Linked DNA regions of Mytilus edulis. The protein of the gene in region 2 purifies or fractionates together with the protein of the main gene of each other region. This does not show direct contact. Links are inferred from orthologs where the notes say so. Each region holds a gene or a part of one and is shown on either strand. Other genes may lie near its edges. The genes, in order: perilipin-2-like and E3 ubiquitin-protein ligase MARCHF6-like.

Region 1 (7,650 bases), on a different chromosome or scaffold from region 2:
GTTATAATGAATTAGTTATTGCAGATTAAGTTGTACTTTAATTCTTAGTATCTTCTATATATTTGTACAATGCAAATAGTACATTAGGATCCTCATTATTCATTATCCAAATTAATTTGTTATCAATATTTAAATTTTGAAAGTTTGGACATGATTTTAATATATTTTGCATCATTTCCTCTCTTTTTAATAAATGAGTGTCACATTTAAATAAAAAAATGAACTTCATCCTCAACCTCACCTGAGGTGCACCTGAGACAAATTCGGTTTTGTCGAAGAGTACCCTGGTATCTACCAGATTCAATTTGCAATTTGTGAGCAGATATTCTTAATCTAGTAATACATTTCCTTTGCTCAAAATGTCGAATTATTGACAAATAATTTTCAAAACCATAGTTGCACTTGAATGTTACATAAGTTCGTAGTTTACCATCTTTATGTATGTCTAGCTGTTTTTTCCACAATGCAGTATAGTATCCCTTAACTATCTGACCACAGTGTAGTTTAAATGTTGAGTATTTTTCAAGAATATGTTTTTCTATGCCTGACATTTTTTCCCTTAAAATATTAATTGATCCATACCAAGAGGTTTTTTTTGTTTCAAATAGCTTTTTAGAACAATTATATGCAGCTTTTAACAAGGGAAATGATGAGCCAATATTTTCTAAACGATGCCAATATCCTAAAACATGTTTAACTATATCATAGTGAAGTGGAAAACGGCCTAATTCAGACAAAACTGCAAAGTTTGTACTCTTCCTATTAACGCCTAAAATATATTTGCAGAATTTAATATGAAGTTTTTCACAAAGTATCCTTGAGTAAATTGTATCCACTGTTATGTTTTCTTTTTTTAAACGTGCAGTAAAGGGATTGAAATATCCCCAAATTTCACACCCATATAAAAGTATAGGCTTTATTGTATGGTCAAAAACATGAATTGCATTTTTAACAGTAGGATTATGCACTAAAAAATCATTACATAGTTTGAAGTATGCTTTTAAGGCTCTTTGGTATAAATCATTCTGAGCATATGAAAAAGAACATGATGCATTAAATTGGATACCCAAATATTTATAATTAGATACACACTCCAGCTCATCTTTGTTGAAAATAAATTTTTGAGAGATATGTCTGCCTGCCTTGTTGAATATCAACACTTTAGTTTTTTTAGTATTTATATCTAAGCACCAGTCATTGCAAAAATTATGAAGTTCATTTAATTTCTCTTGTAGTCCTTCAGCTGAGTTAGATAAAATTACAATGTCATCAGCATACATAAGGCAATGAATGAGTTTGCCATCCAGCATAATTGGATCTCTGGTTCGTGTAAAATAGTCTGGAAGGCTATTTATAAAGATTTTAAACAAGTTAGGACTCAAGTTATCTCCTTGTTTAACACCAAGCTTTGTTTGAAAGAATTCAGTTATTTTATCATGTATTTTTATACAAGATCTAGTTTCAAGATACATATTCTTTATAACGCTATAAAACCTTGAACTAACCCCAATCTCTAACAGCTTAATTCTAATTCCTGTATGTATTACTTTATCAAAAGCTTTATGAAAATCAACAAAGCAAGCAAACACTCTCCCATCCTTAGTATTACAGTATTTATCAAAAATACATTTTAAAACAAACATATGGTCAGATGTTCTTGCCTTTCTTGTGAAACCTATTTGGCAATCATTAATTACATTATTTTCTTCTAAAAAACTATCCAACCTTATATTAAGTATACTGTTAAAAAGCTTACCAATTGCATTAGTGATTGTTAGTCCTCTATAATTATTTGGGTCAGTGACTTCACCTGACTTATGTAATACTGTAATATAACCTTCGGTCCAATTTCTTGGGTATAAACCATGAGACAGACAAGAATTAAATATTTTTGAAAGAGACGATAGTAAAACATTTTGACTGTGTTTAATCATATTGTTTGAAATGTTATCCAAGCCTGGTGATTTGTTACAACGTAGTTTAGAAATGGCAAAAGAAATTTCTTTCTCTGTTATAAGTTTATCAAGATTATTAAAACAAACATTTTTTTCAAGATTATCTAGCTTTTTTTCCAACTTAGCCACTCTTTCTTTGAATGACTCATGTAATTGATATAATCCATTGAAATGTGAAACCCACACAGATGGTGCTACAGCAGAACTATGGTCCTTATTATCATTATTTTTTAAATCATTAATTAACTTCCAATAAGATTTAGGATTATCATCATGTAGATTCTGTAACTGCTCAACAAGTGATTTTTTATATTCTTTATACTTAAATTTTCTAAGTTTAGAATATTGCTTATTAAGCTTATAATAGTGACCTCTCACTAATGGGTCATAAGGAAATTTTGAATATATTTTACCGTAACTTATTAATTTGTTTCGAAGATGGTACAAATCTCCATCAAACCATTTTTTTGTCTTTATTTTCTTATTTCTTAGTTTATTTCTTTTTAAAGAATTAGTAGCAGCAGACAGGAAAATATGTGATAATTCTGCTGCAGCCTCATCGACAGAGGATTGAGACTCTTTGATTATACTTTTATTAAATGTATCAATTTGTGTTTGTATATCTGGTAATAATAGAGCTGTTTGAAAGTTTGTAGGTGATTCATCTGACCATATGAAATTTGGAGATTTATCAAACATATTAATATTACAATCATTATCATCAACAGTAAATTTACTTGACATTTCCCATTCCAGTATACAATGACGATCTGAAATAGTAGGCATAAAGTTGTGAACATAAAAATATAAAATTTGATCCAGAATACTCTCCGACACCATCACATAGTCAACCACACTACTGCCGTTTGGCGTATAACATGTGTACTTTCCAAAAACATCCCCTAGGACTCGACCATTTAGTATCCTTAACTGGTTTAGAATACAGAGATCTAATAGACTCTTTCCCCTTGAATCAATTGTTGTATCACTGCTTTGTCTTTTCAAGATTTGCTTATCAATTGGATAATTATCAAAAAGAGGTAAATAAGATTGATCATCATTTAAAATTTAATCAGGGGAATTGGCAATTCTTGCATTAAAATCACCACACAGTAAAACATTACCCATTTTCATATATTTTGCAGTTTCCTGTTCTAAACATTCAGTAATGTCCCGGTCGAGTCCCTGAGTATATGATGACATTGAGGGTGGGTTATACACTACACACATATATAAGTCTTTTTGAAAACCAAAAAAATCCTTTTCTAACTTTATCCACATAATGTCAGTACAAGTGTTTTTGAGAATTTTTACATAAGGTTTGATATTTTTTTTAACTAATACTGCCAACCCACCAAAAAATCTGTTGTTTGCCCTAGTTTTAGGTCTACATACATTATAACAATTAAAAGGACCTATTCTATGAATGTTGGACTCATATCCAATGTGTGTTTCAGCAAAAAAAGCCAAATCATATTTATCAATTTTGTTTAAGAAAAGGGGATCATCCGTTTTGTTACCCTCCTTGTTCATAAGGCCCCCTAAATTAAGAAAGCACATTTTTAATGATGTGACTGTTCTTGGTGACATAGTCCCTTCTATTCTTGTATTTATTTTAAATATCAAAGAAATTTAAAAACAAAATGAAAAAGAATTATTTAAATACTTTCCAAGTATATAAATATTTTATAAACAATATGATAAAGAATATATGCAAAAAGATAAACCTTTTTATAAGGTGCCAATTAAAGAATTAGAATTAAATGGCCGTCAAGTTAAATCAGTTGTTTTTGTCCTTGACTTGATTTTGATTCCTTTTTTTATATTTCTTTTTATAAACTTAGTTAGTAGTGTACCAAAATTCCCTTGTGTGCAATTCACACATTCAATTGTAATAAAGGGAATAAAATTAAGGCTATATAACACTGAGAATGAAGGAGTATTTTAAATTACTGAGCAAAATGCAGGATAATGAAGAAATATATATGACATCTATGATGTAGGTTTAAAACTGTATGAATTATACATGACTTGAAACCAGAGACGTGAAAAATCTCTGCGGCCTATATTTGGGGTGGGGGTGGGGCAGGACCTTTTTCGCGACGTCGGGATAGGATGTTTTAATTAAAGCTCGGGATTTCGGGATTGATCCTTTCGTGATCCGGGAATTCTTGTTTCGAATTTCGGGATGCCGTGATTTAAATTTCTTTAAAATAGCCCCCCCCCCCCCCCCCCCCCCCCCTTATATTCGAAGATCTAGCTTCGGACATTTAAAATTTCATTTAATTATGAAATTATTTCAGTGTATTGCTTTGTAAGCCTTGATTTTGATTACAGTTCGCAAATAAAAAATATAACTGATACAAATATTTTATTTTCCGAAAATAAGCTACGTAGTTGCAGCACGAAGTGATCATGTTTTTTGGTCTATAATGTCATTTTCAGGGGTCAAGGTCAACAATGATAAGACACGTCATTGTCAGCTGAGTGAAGGATTTCCCTCTCGGGGTAGTTTGAGGGTAATTTTAATGTATTTGTATATGTTTATCGTATTGATTTTAATTAAACCGTAAACTAAAGTACTTGTATATTCATTGATTAAGTCAATCTTTGATATTGTAGCAAATCCAAAATGACGCAGAATATTTGTTTAATTTAAAATAAAAACCTTGTCGACCCTCAGTTTCATTAGGGTAGTTTCCGTGACGTCACATAAGGAATTTCGGACTTTGATCTCAGACGTGTTTTTAGCTTATCAGTCAGCTTATAAATCCGCAGAGCGGTGTTTCTTTGTCAAATTAAAACAGATATCGTGGTAAGTTCTACTCTTTTCAACAAAAAACATGTTTAAATAGTTCTATATCATAATGAACAGAATATTGTTCATTTAAAAAATGTATCATCTACCAGAAAAAGGGTTTTACGGTTTCATTGTCTCATGTCATGATGTCTGGACATACATATTATGTCATAGCGTGACGGTGTGTTAAAAATGTTAATACTTGTTGCACAGAGTCAGGGATGAGGACTTGACAGAGAGAAATTATGTACGAGACACAGGCACTTGTTTTGTTTCTGTAGTTTATGAAATAATAAAAACATTGATCTTGACACAAAAGAAAAATTTAGATTTTCAAAGTGGTCTTATAATTTATAGATTAATAGTTTTATTTTGTGAATTTTGAGCTCAATTAAAAATAAATATATCCTCAAATATTTAATGTTTATTACAGAGATCGTATGTACAGACAACACATGGAGGAACAACGAAGGATAATGGAAGATCAACAATTTATAAATCAACTGGGAAAGATCCCAGTGGTCAGTTCAGCCTGGACGCAGGCCTACAATCTCTACCAGAGAACTAAAGGATCCCATGAATTACTGAAGTCCTCTCTAAACATGGCAGAGGCTGGTGTTAAAACTGTGGTGGATACATCAGTAGTGTTTGGTAAACCATTGGTAGAACGATACCAACCACAAAGTAAGTTCTGAAGGTCAATAGTTAGCCTGGATGATGGGGAAGGAGGATAATGACAAGAAAAACAATAATATTTGAATGCAAAAATCAAAGCAGCCCAGTAATAGATCATCTGATGTATAGAATATATTTACCAAATAAGGGCCCCAGGAGAGCATATATAGCATACAGACAATATTATAATCAATAACATATGCAATACACAGACAATAAAAGATATGTAACAAGTGTTATAAAAATAATAAAATAAAATGACATACTACAGAAAATACACTCGACAAAATAGCAGCAATGTATGATAATTCACTGAACATGTAATTAAAGTAAGGTTTAAGTCTTGGCACATGATGTTAATTTAGTATTCTGTCCAATTATAGTTCTGATACATTGATGATTGTAGTAGACATTATACATACAATTGTATAGTGTATAATACAAACATGCATATTTCAACAATTAGACATGTTAGATGTATGAAAAAAAAAATATCCCATTAATCATTGTTAATCTGTGTCATTATGAGTTTAGGATATACAATTTGATTAAAAATTGCAACTTGAATAGAAAAAAAACTAGCTTTTAAATTTAGGATATAATACAGAGTATAAAAAAGAAGATGTGGTATGACTGCCAATGAGAGAACTATCCACAAAAGACCAAAATGACATAGACATTAACAACTGTAGGTCACCGTACGGCCTTCAACAATGAGCAAAGCCCATACCGAATAGTCAGCTATAATAGGCCCTGATAAGACAATGTAAAACAATTCAAACGAGAAAACTAACGGCCTTATTTATGTAAAAAAATGAATAGTTTATACATGTAGGTGAATCATTCAAGCATGGTCTTTGTAGAAATTCCTGTCAGTTTATCTCTATAAACTATAGTTATTATACATCTCTATTCTGGGCTATAAATGTATTTTTTTATTATATTAAAGCCTCTTCAAGATTGAAATGTCAATTAACAATTTCTATTTTACAGTTGTAGAAAAAGCTAACAGTTATGCTTGTGAGAAATTAAACCAATTGGAAGAGAAATACCCTGTTATCAACAAACCTACTGAAGAGGTAAGAAAGGCAACATCTTTTTTTATTGGATAACAAATTTAACTTACTTTGAAAAAAAAAGGAAATAATTATTTGGTATGATTTCAAAAGATACATTTTACATGTATTCACCAGAGATCAAATGATTTGGATGTTAAAAACTATACTAGGTCCCAAAAAGACTTCAACAATGGTCAAAACCCATACTGTACATATGTATATGTATAGTACTGTAAGCTACATGTAAACAATTACATGTATGAAAAGTCCCGACTTGATATTCTGTAAAATAATTCAAACAAGAACACCTATGGGCTGATGTAATATTAAACAAGAACACCTATGGGCTGATGTAATATTAAACAAGAACACCTATGGGCTGATGTAATATTAAACAAGAACACCTATGGGCTGATGTAATATTAAACAAGAACACACATGGGCTGATGTAATATTAAAACAAGAACACCTACGGGCTGATGTAATATTAAAACAAGAACACCTATGGGCTGGTGTAATATTAAACAAGAACACATATGGGCTTATGTAATATTAAACAAGAACACCTATGGGCTGATGTAATATTAAAAAAAAAATCAAATGTGACACACATCCACCAAAAATAACCACTGAATGAATAGCTCTTGGCTTCAGAAGTAAACTTCAAATCACTGTGTATAAAAGATTTGTTATAAAATTGAGAAAGGAAATGGTGAATATGTCAAAGCGACAACCACCCGACCATAGAGCAAACAACAGCCGAAGGCAACCAATGGGTCTTTGTTTTGTGAGTGTATTGTATCTTAAATTGTACCAGTAAATAAACCATTTTACATTAATAGATTAAGTTGCCAGTTTAAGTAATTCAGTTGGTACATTTGCGTACTCTTTAAGATATTAGTACATTTTATGGAAGTTAACAATGTCTATACATGCATATATGATTTGTGATTCATCTCACATCTGATATCAATCAAGACTGGTTCAAAGTACAAACATGTCATCTCAATTTATATCAATTGAAGGTTATGCATTTAAAACATTATGTTTTCTAAAATGTATATCAGTTGAAGGCCAGATAAGGTTTTAAAAATAGAACTCCCTTGACCTACTTTGTTTAAAAACTGACAAGTAGACAATGTCTGACCTGTTAACTGATAAC
Region 2 (7,752 bases):
TATCTCCCTTTACCTATATTTTCACTCTGATTTTTATATCCTATTTGACATGAAAGATTTTTAACCTACTTTATAATTTCTTTTTTTTCTGTTTTTAATCTTCTATAGATCTTGTTTTTTTACAAAAAATTCTTATATTCTCCACTTTCCTGAGTTTATTGGAGGGAAAATGGTGACCTACCATCAGGACTAAATGAACACGAACTAACAGAACCATCATGGCTGCCACATAATTGTCCAGGGCCTTTTGATCTATAAATAAAAAGGCAGTGTGAAAATAGGCCTTTATTTGGAGTTATCCTTATTTAGCAAATGTTTAGTTGAAAAGTATGACTGAATGTTGATAAAAACAGAATTTGTAAGTTGATAAATGCAGAATTTACATTTTAATACGTTTTTTTTTGTGTGTGAAAAAAAACCCAAAGCAACTTTCTTTTTTAAGCTGTTTGTGACTTCTTTATTAGTTAACTTGAAGATTGTTTTTACTCAAATAGTTGATTTTCCATTTTTTTTTATATTTGTCAGCAGTAATTTGCCCACCTCTTGCTTCAAACCAATTTTTCAGTCCCATAAATTATTTTGAAATATAGATGTGTGATTTAAGAACATTATGCTCACAAACAATGGATAAGTATGTATTTATATAATTTTTTAAACGTTTCTCAAAATGTTACACAAGAAATCTAAACAGGAAGTTTTATCTCAGACATGTTGTTTAGGTTTCTTTGGGGGGCCATAGTATATATATATATTTTTCAAACTAAGAGGATAAACACTGAGATGTTGCCTGCTTTTCTAAAAATCATTAAATTTGATGTTGAAAGTCTGATATCAAGGTTTAAATGCAGATATATGGGAAAAGATGTTACCTGTAACTTCCTGTAGCGATATCCCAGATATTAACAGTTTTATCCCAGGAACCAGTAGCAAACTTTCTCTCATCATGACTGATATCACAGCATGATATTATATTGATATGTCCTCTGCAAGAAAAGTGTCAAATAATAAAACTTTAATTATCTATTTTTAACATTTCATACAGTATCATATCATACACTAAGTGCATTTCACTTAAACAAAAATGCTAAAGTTCTGATAACATCATTTTATTTTACTCTGATAAGTACATTCTAATTTCTAATCCAGCCTTACAGTGTCAGAAATACTGTGAATCAGTAAAATGCAAACTCAAGATTTAGTACATTTACTTGGTCACAGCAGAATACTTATTTCAAAATAGATCTTAGAAAATGTTTCCCTGTGCCAAGTCAGGAGCCTGTAAATAGTGGTTTAATTTTGTCCTTTGGGGCATTTTATAGCTTGCTGTGTGGTTAGGGTTTTGCTCATTGTTAAATCTGTACTGTGAGTCACAGACCTCTAGTTATTAACCTACTTTATTTTTAGTCTTTGGTAGAGAGTTGTCTTATTGAATATCACATTACATCTTCTAATTTTTATATAATTTTATCTTAGTACATCATGCTTAGTTCATTTTATCTGTTTGAATTTCTGGTGAATGATATAACAACATTTTACTATAAACAGTACTTACTGTACAGTAATGGTGACTTTTAAAGTCTTTAGATCATAGAATTTGGCAGTTTTATCCATGGAGGTTGTAATAATCTTATCATCTCCAGGAGCAAACATACATTTCGTAATGGTACTGGTGTGAATATCTGAAATAAATACAAATGTAGGTTGAACAAATTAAGCTTGTACCATTGACGTCCATTCACTTAAACCAATCTTATGTTTTGACAATTACTTTAAAATTAGATCATCAGAAAAAAAGCACCAAAGTTTCAAAATCGTCAAAAGAACTGATTCTACCACTGCATTTAATAATTCTTCACTCTAATTTAACATGGTTGAAAAGCCTACATATTGTTAATTTCTTGATCAAAGTAAAATAAACTGAAACAATTATTAGCATAACAACCTTTCATAATAATTGTTTCTTTATTAAATTAATAGATGAGATACTAAAACATCCAGTTTGTTTGTTTGTGAAATTCTAAAAGTAGTTCCACAACAATAGCTGGTAAAAAATTTGGTACCTAATAGATACAATGAGTAGCATACATTTTGCAAAATCCTAATACAGGATTAATTACAAACTTTTTTGTACATACCGTCAACATTATGTATGAGATCTCCTGTATTAGAGTCCCAGATTTTAACCGTGTTATCCAAGTCTGATCCAGAGACCACATATTTCCCATCATGTGAAAAATTACAACTTGTCACAATACCAGCATGTTTTCCTGACCACTGCAAGAAAAATAACGTTTTCATATTTTTCTTCTTTTGTAGTACCTACTCAATAATTGAAATCTTTCAGAAATAGGTTGATTAAAAGATTTTGTATTGATAGACCAGGAAGGCAGAGTGCCTGGAGAGAACCACTGACCTTTAGTAGATTTTGGAATAAGATGGAGATACTTAAGTAGTCCACATTTACAAACAAGATAATAACTTAACTACATTTCTTCATACTCAAAATAAAAATATATTAAATCATAGTGACATTTATCTTACAGCACCTCCAGCTGATTCAGTTTGTTTACTATTATAACCCAGATCGTGGTGACATTTAGCCTTACAGAGCATCCAGTTAATTCAGTTTATTTTATAACCTTAACTCACCACACAATTTCCAGATTCAATATCCCAAACAGCAACTTTCTTATCCCATCCACAACTAACAAATCTGTAAATAATCAATAACCTTAGTTACATTCAATATCCCAACATACAATGGTTAGTAACATTCAATATGATATCCCAACATACAATGGTTAGTAACATTCAATATCCCAACATACAATGCTTAGTAACATTCAATATCCCAACATACAATGGTTATTATGATTGATAGGTATTCCATCACATTTATAAAATTTAGATAAGATCATCATATCTGTTGAAATATTACTAAACTCATAATAATAAATACATAAAATTGAGAATGATATTTAAAAATGCTACAATTTTACTCCATGATTATTCAATGCTTCTATTTTTTGTTATAAATAATGTAACAGATTAATGAATAGATATGCATATGTTACCTCCTTCCATTGTCATTGACATTAGCTTGTGATATAATGCTATCATGACATCTTGTATAGTTATGGAGAACTTCTCCTGTCTCTACGTCCCAAATCTTGATTGTCTTGTCATCTGAGGCAGAGAGGATTTTCTGATCATTGTCAATGTATTTACAACTTCTTACTGAGTCTAAATGTCCACGGAAAACCTTTATTCTTAGCTGAAAAAGAAAATTACATACATGTACATATAAAAATAAGGAGGGCAGTCAGGGGTAATACTTGTATAAGTTATTTTCATTTACTTGTTACTAAGTTCATTTATATTTTCCAGAGTTTAGTGCGACATCTAATTTCACTGAACTATTACACATTTTTGCTTTGGGGCTAACTGAATCTGGCCTCTGGGTGCTGGATTTTCTCATTGTGTTGAAGAACAATTGTTGGCCTTGCACTGTAATCTGCTCTTTGGTCAGATTGTTGTCTCTTTTTTTTAAAACATTCCCCATTTTCATTCTAATATCGCGTTCATTATCACTGAACTAGTATATATTTGTTTAGGGGCCAGCTGAAGGATGCCTCTTGGTGTGGGTGTGGGAATTTCTCGCTACATTGAAGACCTGTTGGTGACCTTCTGCTGTTGTTTTTTTTCTATGGTCGGGTTGTTGTCTCTTTGGCACATTTCCCATTTCCATTCTCAATTTTAATGTGCATATTGTTATGCGTTTACTTTAATTTCTACATTGGCTAAAGGTATAGGGGGAGGGTTAAGATCTCATAAACATGTTTAGCCCCGCTGCAATTTTGCACCTGTCCCAAGTCAGGAGCCCCAGCTGGCCTTTGTTAGATGCTTGTATGATTTTTAATTTTAGTTTCTTGTGTATAATTTGGAGTTTAGTATGACGTCCATTATCACTGAACTAGTATACATTTTTTTAAGGGGCCAGCTGAAGGACACCTCCGGGTGCGGGAGTTTCTCACAACATTGAAGACCCATTGGTGGCCTTCAGCTGTTGTCTGCTGTATGGTATGGTTGTTGTCGCTTTGACACATTCCCCATTTCCTTTCTCAATTTTGTTAACCCTCTTGCTGCCAGTTGTTTTTCAGGGTTGCATTTCATATGCCAGAAAATACAACCGTTCAACGTTTGTGATGGACATGCTAAACAAATGACATCATTCAATATACATTGTACATGTGTGACATTATGCCGACCGTTACATTTGAGAGACATTGTAGAAACTTATAACACTTTTTAATTTTCACTCTTTTATTTTGATAAAGGTACAGCACTGACGTGAAGCTTGCATAAATTAAAACATGGACATATGTGTCCCTCCGTCAGGAAGAGGGTCAAACTTGGAATCTAGCCCAAACAAATTATGTTCAAATCAAATTTTGTAATGAAATTTTGATATCTAAACCTGAGCTAAATCTTCGTGTTCCCAAGTTGCCGTGGTTCGGCCAGCCTCGCTCTCATCTTGTACTATTTCAACTGATAATTCTTCTTCATCCATTGTCCATATGCAATGTTTCTTTTTCACATTTTATAAGTGTGTTTAGAAAATTTTCGCGTCCCTGGTTTCCTATCGGAAAGAAGAATAAATATTGACGTAAAATATATTAATTTAATTTATTTGTATTTGTAGCTTTATTTCAAGAACTATCACAAAACTATCATGAAAATAAAACTGAAATTCTGAATAAAATGTAATTTGACGAATATTATTGTTTACGACAACGACAATCTGACCTTGAACTTTCACAAATCGAAAATGGACGAGCCTCTGGATCCAGATGGACTCTTAGGTGGGTAAAATAAGGATCATGTTTTAATGATAGAAGAAGAAACAATTATATTTTGCACAAATCAAGCTATATGCTTCACATATCATTCAAATTTGGAAGCATTGCTGGTACACTACAGCTTTCTTTCTAAATTTTATGTTTAGTCGGACCAACTCACAAAGGTGCAGAAATTATCCAGCAAAGATTATTTACAGTTTCTTATGTTACATGTAATTAAAAGAAATATTAAACAGTTAAAACATATTAATATGGTTGGCAATACCATTTTTAACCCATGGTCTTGAATATATAATAATATTATGTCATGAATGTGATGTGAAAACATTTATAATGTTAAAATAAGAGATGTGATATTTATAATACACCTTATCGCTATTTGTCTGCCATTACTGGACATCACAAAAGTTCCAGTCAATTTTTACATCATAATAGAAAATATCTGACGCCGCAATAGAAAAGTGATTGTTGAATGAAGTCAAAAGTTCAAGCGGGATTTTTCGAAAGGTATCCAGTCGTTCGGGCCCCAAACCGATCCGGCCCCAAGTCAATCTGGCCCAAGTCGATCCGGCCCACGTCGATCCGTCCCCAAGTCGATCCGGCCCATAATAAAATATGAATTAACTAGATTTTGGAGGAATTTGTCACAAACTTTAACAGTATAAATGGAATTTGAAAAAAGTGTCCGATCGATGATGGATGACAACAGGTCAGCGAAGTATTGGAGTACCAGTTAACGAACTATTTTAAATCCATACGAAAATTAGTGTTATTGTGTCTGTTTGTATCGCAGTTTCTACATTTTTAAATTATGAAGTTATTTTCCATGATAACTTTTACTTTGAATTTCATGGCGATTTTTAACACACAGAATAGCTAAATAAATATTTACAGTCCAATGGACCTATAACATTTATCGCATAATAATGACTTGTTTAATCAAATCATTAGTCTATAATTGGTTTGTTTATTCAACAGTTGTCTGCTGATTGTGAACTAAGGTAATGCCACTCGTAATCACTTAATTCAATCCAATGCTGATTAATTAAAGTTACGTAATCTGTTTTTCAACAAGGTCTTTATAGTTTGATCTTCTGGTTTGGTGTAATTATTTGTATTTTTTTCAGGTTACATCAAAGGCTTCTATAACATATAAAAATATTCTATTCTATAACACTTTTTTTTGTAACATCGGATATGGACCATAATTTGCTATTGGGCTCCGTTTCCTATAACTATAGAAAAGTGATAAAATGTGAATTACTGTAAGAAAAGTTGCAACTACATCTAAAGATGCCATTATTTTTATCAATATACAAGTGTATGCTACTCTTCCCTAGAAAAAAAATTAAAATATACGAATTTCAAAGATTCTACAACCGTATTTTTGTGTCGTTTCTCGCGTTACTTTTTGCTTCCGAAGAGCATAACGCTGACTGATTTATAGATAATCGTCACTGGCAAATTCGTAACTTTTGCTTTCAAATAACAAAGAACATTGACCAATAGGAATAGTGAGAAGAAAATGCCGAGAACTATAAGTATTTATGTAGCAGATGTAAGCAGAGTGGCGTGATTTTTGTGTCCGATTTCGTAACGCAATTTTTAGATGATGTAATCTGCTTTGTTGTAATAGAATTCTTAAAAACAATATGCAAATATGGACTCTTCCGAGATGTTCAAACAGGTAAATCCGAGATGATTTACATTCTTGTTTTGATCTTCGTAATAATTAAGTAAGAAAATTACGTTATCGTTATGCGTTACATTTCACACGAAACAGAAGACCAGTTATTTATTAAAATTGTTTTTGTCCTTAAGTTCTAATCATTTCCGGTCATACATGAAACATGTGACTAACATGTGATAACGTCATTACGGCCGGATGTACGAAATACTAGGTCTAAACATTGTTTTTGTTTCCAACGGGATGTTAGCAAACATAATCTGTAGACTTGTTTCGTCTTGTTTAAAAGAGGAAAATACAATTGTCAAAGAGATTGCGCTGGTGGTCTGTTATTTTTCCTATGTGCATAATGTTACATATGATCCTGTGTGAAAATAAATGCCCAATGACTTGACAAAATCGATTTCATATTTGACAGACGTTAGAACACACTTCGTTTCCCGATAATGACGTGAAGAGTCCTTGGAAAAATCAATCTAAATTACGTCTCTTATCATTGTACCAATGCTCGTTGGATTGATTCAACTTCAGCAGTAAATATTACTGGATATTTTAGGTGAATAAATATAATTTAATAAAAAAATACATGTTAATATACCGTTACACTTGGAATGTACAAAGTTGGAATCTTTGTCACAGTTTTTAATTAATATTTTTTATTCATGTTCTGCAAACACTTATCAGAAACGCAATAAACTTGTCAAAGGAGAAGTAAACTTTTACCATGCATTACTTGAAAGGAAGTACTTAATTGATTTTAGCCCACTAAAGTAGGTTAAAATGTGGAAACCATGTAGATGGTGTACAGGTCACAAGTATCACATTGTGCCTATTTTAAAGATTTTAATTCCAAGTTAAAAGTTTTTTTCTTTACTGGATTTAAAGAATGTTACATTGCCAATGATTTGGAATAAATTGTATATAACTGGAATATCAAAACCAAATATTAAATACATTTTTTTGGCTTAAACATCAAGATACAACGATTATGGTATCCTGTATCAATGAAGAAAATATGGAAAATTCTGAATAAATTGTACTAATTGTTTTCAAAACAAGCACATATTAAGGAGTCTTATAATACTGTTACATTTAAGATGGATTTTAAGAAAAAGTATACTGTTCAGATTATTTTAAGCAGATTTTGCAATAAAATAAAACTAAAAAACTGCTTTCGGTTTCTTATGGTTTCCTGTCAGGTTTAAA

Evidence for each region.
Region 1: the proteins of E3 ubiquitin-protein ligase MARCHF6-like (region 2) and perilipin-2-like purify together in Homo sapiens (affinity purification with western blotting; 3 studies listed by BioGRID). This does not show direct contact. The link is inferred for Mytilus edulis from reciprocal best matches to the Homo sapiens genes MARCHF6 and PLIN2.

What each region holds. Positions count from the first base shown.
Region 1 is NC_092347.1:24,719,610-24,727,259, reverse strand, and holds the start of perilipin-2-like, read left to right. Parts: upstream 1-4,537; 5' UTR 4,538-4,770; exon of another isoform or gene 4,771-5,002; intron 5,003-5,188; 5' UTR 5,189-5,195; coding exon 5,196-5,439; intron 5,440-6,423; coding exon 6,424-6,509; intron 6,510-7,650. UniProt on the Homo sapiens protein: Structural component of lipid droplets, which is required for the formation and maintenance of lipid storage droplets.
Region 2 is NC_092348.1:8,293,062-8,300,813, reverse strand, and holds the start of E3 ubiquitin-protein ligase MARCHF6-like, read left to right. Parts: upstream 1-4,739; 5' UTR 4,740-4,828; coding exon 4,829-4,862; intron 4,863-7,752. Other genes in the region: WD repeat-containing protein 88-like, read right to left, coding at 182-252, 870-983, 1,553-1,679, 2,136-2,274, 2,650-2,713, 3,075-3,274, 4,478-4,570. UniProt on the Homo sapiens protein: Endoplasmic reticulum membrane-associated E3 ubiquitin ligase that plays a critical role in mitigating endoplasmic reticulum stress, the regulation of cholesterol and lipid homeostasis, and ferroptosis.